Saccharomyces cerevisiae S288C: one gene and its partner. The protein of the gene in region 1 binds, or shares a complex with, the protein of each later gene. Each region holds a gene or a part of one and is shown on either strand. Other genes may lie near its edges.

What was found. Proteins that work in one complex are often made in the same cells at the same time.
Region 2: MRPL25 (region 1) and YML6 share a complex: the UniProt entries of both Saccharomyces cerevisiae proteins name them as parts of the mitochondrial large ribosomal subunit.

What each region holds. Positions count from the first base shown.
Region 1 is NC_001139.9:636,604-639,232, reverse strand, and holds MRPL25 (mitochondrial 54S ribosomal protein mL59 MRPL25), read left to right. Parts: upstream 1-1,655; coding exon 1,656-2,129; downstream 2,130-2,629. Other genes in the region: PEX8 (Pex8p), read left to right, coding at 1-1,489; U4/U6-U5 snRNP complex subunit PRP38, read left to right, coding at 2,358-2,629. UniProt on the Saccharomyces cerevisiae protein: Component of the mitochondrial ribosome (mitoribosome), a dedicated translation machinery responsible for the synthesis of mitochondrial genome-encoded proteins, including at least some of the essential transmembrane subunits of the mitochondrial respiratory chain.
Region 2 is NC_001145.3:223,906-226,952, forward strand, and holds YML6 (mitochondrial 54S ribosomal protein uL4m YML6), read right to left. Parts: upstream 1,461-3,047; coding exon 1,434-1,460; intron 1,335-1,433; coding exon 501-1,334; downstream 1-500. Other genes in the region: 40S ribosomal protein eS17 RPS17A, read left to right, coding at 1,984-1,986, 2,385-2,792. UniProt on the Saccharomyces cerevisiae protein: Component of the mitochondrial ribosome (mitoribosome), a dedicated translation machinery responsible for the synthesis of mitochondrial genome-encoded proteins, including at least some of the essential transmembrane subunits of the mitochondrial respiratory chain.

The sequences.
Region 1 (2,629 bases):
TTGGAATGCTGTTTTCGAATCTCACCGAGCCACGTGGAACCTTTCACAGTTGATGGTTTTGGATGGTGTACTAGTCACATACCCGAGCTTCAAACAATTGAACAACGCCTATTTTATTGATGAATCCAGCAACAAAACTGCGCTTTATTACAGAAACTGGAAATTACAACTGTTTTCACCAATATGGGCGCAGCTATGGAATACTGCCATTGTCAGGGCTAATTTATCGATTCAGCATTGCCTTCTGATAGCATTAGCTTTACTTTTTAATCAGTCAAACCGAAGCGCCCTTTTGCATGGAGTTGACGTATCATGGAATTTGGTCACAGAGAAACTATTGGACCTTTTGGAAGAGTATGTACACGGCATTGTGCAGCCGATGGAAATTTTTTCGACTGATTCAGTCTTATCAACCAACTTGAATCATTTGGCCAGTTGCTTGACCAGTTCAATCACGAGGTCAAATGAGGCAACTTTGGTAAATTCAGTACGCAAACTAGAAAGGATATGTCGATACTTGTCCGATACTGTGGCTTCGTTGAAAGAACAACAACTAGATTTCAAGTTCCAAAATGTATTTATCCTGATAATCCTCGCGTTAAAAGAATTATCCGCCATGAATATGACAATACTGCCTAACCATAAAGACACTTTTTATTCTATGATCTGTTTAAGCCTTTTCCACGTCCACGTATTGACTCAAAAAATCGGGACAGTCGGTTTTCCCAGTTACGATTATGTTTACGATAATTTAGTAACGTATTTCATTGTCATGGATGACTTGTCTAAAATCACTACAGTTTTGGAACTAATGAAAAGAAACAACACCAAACAAGATCCAAATAAATTAGTGTTTTACATCAATTTTCTAAACAAAATTACTAATTACTATGGGTGTCGCATTCGTTTGCCGTTTATTACTGAGTTTATCGAACCTTTACTGCATTTCGATGTATTTTTTAGCGGGAAGACGGGCAATACCTTGGATATTGAAATCAAAGAATCTATACACACATTGACAATCACTGTACTGTCTATAGACTCCTCTTATTCCTCACAGGTTGCACAATGGCAAGTATCCCGCATACTCGTCTATTTAAAGATGTCGATGGACCAATTTATTGCAGGTAAATTGTCCGCAAATCAAATTTTACTTATATTCGGCCATCTATCCACACAACTTCCCTCACTACATAATTATAACAAGCATTTGCTTAGGGACTCTTTGCACGAGACGTATATCAGAATTGTTAATGTAAAAAACCCAGAAAAGAAGAATGTATTGATTGAATGTCTGATTGTACAAATAGCCTTTATCAACAATCCTCATCATTTGATCGGCTGGTTGAACATCTGTCTCCAGCTAATCAATACACATAACAAAAAGCTACTTCAACAATTGTGGGAAATGGTTTCGAGTCTAGAATCCTCCCTAGCCATCGACTGGTGGTACACAACGGTCTTATCAAGTCAATCTTCTAAATTATAGTATCATTAAGTACTTTATAGTAGCGCCTTTTTATATTCCTTTTTTCTCAAACAAAAAAAAAAAATGACTGGGATACAAGTGAAAGTGGAAGAGCAAGTGAAATACGAAATAAAGTGAACCATTTATACAGAATAGGAAAACCAACTAGTGCATTAAACTAAACTCCATGTCATACAAACAGTATTTTGATAGTTTGCCTTTGAAATTGAAGTCCTTTTTCCAAAGATACCCCCCTTCAATCAAGTATTCTCCAGTGTCTACATCTACTAAAGCCATTAATGCCAATCCTTTCCTGCCAAATAAACATCCGGTCACACAACGATTTCATGATCCGAAATATTCACTTAGAAGAATGAGTGACGTATATAAGTTGGCACTGCGTTATGGAGTAGAAGAGTTTTTACCACCGATCGAAAACACTAAGAAACTTTTCTTCGAGGAGAAATACAATAAAAAGACCCTCATGAAAGGTGTTCTCTTGCCCAAGGGTCATAAGCATGAATTGAAATTAAACGAAAAGCTAAAAAAACGTGAAGAAGCTTTAAAGAAGGTAGATGAGTTGATTGCTTCCAAGAAGGGTTCGAAGTATGCCAAGAGAGTAGAAAAAATGAAAAAAAACCAAAGTATAGGCTGGTTCTGAAGAATAAGAGAGAAGATAACTATAGTTTAGAATAGTAAACCCTATGTGTACTGTTTTATGTTTTTAATGTCTAATCATGTAAATAATTTTGTGATATCAATAACGAACGTTCTGAACAAGAATTATGATAAAAAAAAGTAAAATCTAAAGCCATTACAACGCTATATTTTCAGTGGCAGTAAAAACGCAAGAACAAAAACAAAACGTGGGTAAAGAACAAGGACTACAATGGCTGTCAATGAATTTCAAGTGGAGTCTAACATCTCTCCAAAACAACTGAATAACCAGTCAGTGTCACTTGTTATTCCTCGGTTGACAAGAGATAAAATTCATAATTCAATGTACTATAAAGTAAATCTAAGCAACGAATCTTTGAGAGGCAATACAATGGTAGAGCTTTTGAAAGTTATGATTGGCGCATTTGGTACCATAAAAGGTCAAAATGGTCATTTACACATGATGGTTCTCGGTGGCATTGAGTTTAAATGCATCTTAATGAA
Region 2 (3,047 bases), on another chromosome or scaffold:
ACCTGATATTGTTATTACTAAGGACCTTTTCCAGTTAGGATAGCAAAGGTGTCAGAATTACCATAGCCCAGGCATCAACCAGTTTCCGCGCAAGAATTCTCCTCCTCCCGGAACAAGAGGCCTGCGGAGACGAGTTCTTTGCCTCTGAAAGGCGAATCTCTGGAAGGATGAGCTTGGATGGCCCCAGTAAACGCATTTGCCTAGGTTGAGCCGAGCTAGGAGGACACCCCGACGGATAATTTAGCCCTTTTCCAATTTTTCAAAAAAACATGAAATTTCAAAAAAATGTATGGATGTAAAATTCAGTAGTGTGTACGGATTTTACAGTTTCTTGAATGAGACTTGCTTTTACGTCAAATCATTCTGAATTATACAATTCTTTCATTGTGAGATTGATATTTCATGGGCTTATTATTTACAGATTATTTTTTAAATATGTAGATGGAATAATAACTGGATGGGGTAGAAGAAGGGGTCACTTGTATGTGTACATATGAAAATCAGTTAGACACGGAGTGAAGGATTTCTTTCTGATGGGCCATTGCTAGATATTCAAGAGCTTCCAATTCGATAAAAACAGCTTGGGCTCTTAGTATGTCATTTACCTCAACAAGTTCTTTCTGTATAACATCTACTTTTTGTTTGTATGGATCAGAACTCTTTATCAGCCCTTCCCTAGTCTTGTCTGTAATGAAAAGTAATCTCTTACCTTTAAGTTGAAATTCCTCCAAGAATTTTCTGAAGATGACTTCGCCCTCAAAAATCTCTTTGCCCTCAACTGTGTTTGTATTCACAAGATCCAGCCTGTTCAAGTCGAGTTCTGGTGTGGGAGATATTAAGTCGACCTTTTCACCACCAATAACAAACAACTTTCCACTTTTATATTGGTGGCTCAAAGCGTTGTTGAAAGCCATGGAATAAACCTTGGATGGTAGCTCTGTAGTATAGTCGTTTGGTGCAGTTCTTGCCAATGCCCTACCACCATTATGTCTTGTTGGAGAGTTAGCATCCCCGACTCTTGCCCTACCAGAACCCTTTTGGGGCATCAATTTACGTCTGGAAAACCCGTTTTCACTTCTCCCGGGAGGATTTGAGGCGCCTACTCTTCTATTATCGTTTTCATAAACTACGGCTCTCCATAGTATATCACGCCTTAATGGAGCAGCTACAGTTGATGTGGGGACCGGCACAAATGTCAATGGTTCTAATGATGGAAAGGAGCGAACGGTAACTAAGGCGTATTTGGGAGGAATGGCTGCGTTTGGCAGAGGGTTTAACGTGGATTCTGCATGTGCGGTGGCAGTGGTAGCTTGGTAGCGTATAGATTGTAAAGTCTATTGCATAAAATGGTTGTAATGTTAGTATACGGATTCATCTTCAGAAAATCGACAACCAAATGGAAAAAGAGCGAGGGACGATCCTCTGATACGTACTTTCACCAAATTTCTTTTTATCGTCATTATTATTATTTCACCCTAGTTGAACGAAAGATTATTCGCATTGGCGTCCTTTGAATGTATCTCCCCCATTATTAATGGAACCTCTGTATTATACTTTTCTATTTCGAACTTTTTGAGACTCATTCTTGGTATCCCAGGGTGACCCAGTAACCTTTTTTCCGGTTTAACATCCGTGCATTACATCCGTACATTCTATTTTTTATTTTCCAAAAAACTGGGAGTTCTACTTAATTTTTTGGCCCCGTTTGGGAATCTGCTTTGCCACAGGAGGCGGCCTGTCCAGGAGGACAATAGACCAATGGCAGAGACGAGGTTTGTTGGGTACGTGCAACAGCGCCTGGGCTCAGCCGGCTTGCTGTGGGCAACGGAATGGTGCTTCCTAAGCCAATCTTTCATGCTGTAGCTATCGTCGTGATCGCTTTTACTGGCATATTAGCGTAATATGTATGAAATTAGGTATTAATCAAGCATTAATCGACTTAATTCTAAGAAAAGTCAAGATCTCGAGACTAGCAATAACAAAATGGTATGTTAATATGGACTAAAGGAGGCTTTTAAGGACACGTAATATTGAGTCGACATGCGCAATAAAGTCATACAATAAATAAGTTAAAGAAAACATATGACGATATTTTCAGACGATATGGAACTGCGATACCGAAAAAGTGGTGTGATTGAAATGATACTCATGTTTTGGCTATAGTTGCAGTGGCTTTCCAAAAAATTGGGAGTTAAAATGCCTATAGCAGTATCACCGGAGATTCAGTCTCTTGTGGATCTTCTTTTTGCATAGTTGAACAAGGGATAATATGGCGCCATGAACTGCCTCTACACATTATAATGTGTTTTTGATATCAGTATACTAACAAGTTGAATTGCATTTACAAACTTTTTATTTTGTATTGCTTTTCGTCATTTTAATAGGGTAGAGTTAGAACCAAGACCGTCAAGCGTGCTTCTAAGGCTTTGATTGAACGTTACTATCCAAAGTTGACTTTGGATTTCCAAACCAACAAGAGACTTTGTGATGAAATCGCCACTATCCAATCCAAGAGATTGAGAAACAAGATTGCTGGTTACACCACCCATTTGATGAAGAGAATCCAAAAGGGTCCAGTTAGAGGTATCTCTTTCAAATTGCAAGAAGAAGAAAGAGAAAGAAAGGACCAATACGTCCCAGAAGTCTCTGCTTTGGACTTGTCTCGTTCTAACGGTGTTTTGAACGTTGACAACCAAACTTCTGACTTGGTTAAATCTTTGGGTTTGAAGTTGCCATTATCTGTTATCAACGTTTCTGCCCAAAGAGACAGACGTTACAGAAAGAGAGTTTAAAATTAAATTAGAAAGCTATTTAAAATAATTTACTATTCAAAATATTTGCCTTTTCTTTTTTAATTTTTGTTTATTCTTTAATGTATAATTAAATAAAAAAATATTATTATATTTACTAATTAAGAGCGAAGCGTTTTATGTAGCTCCTTGGCCATACATACATTGCGCGCAATGTTTATGCTTTGATACCAAAGGGCTATCATCTTTGACTTGGAATTATTTATATTTTTTAACATTGACTCTGTTTCCTTTCTT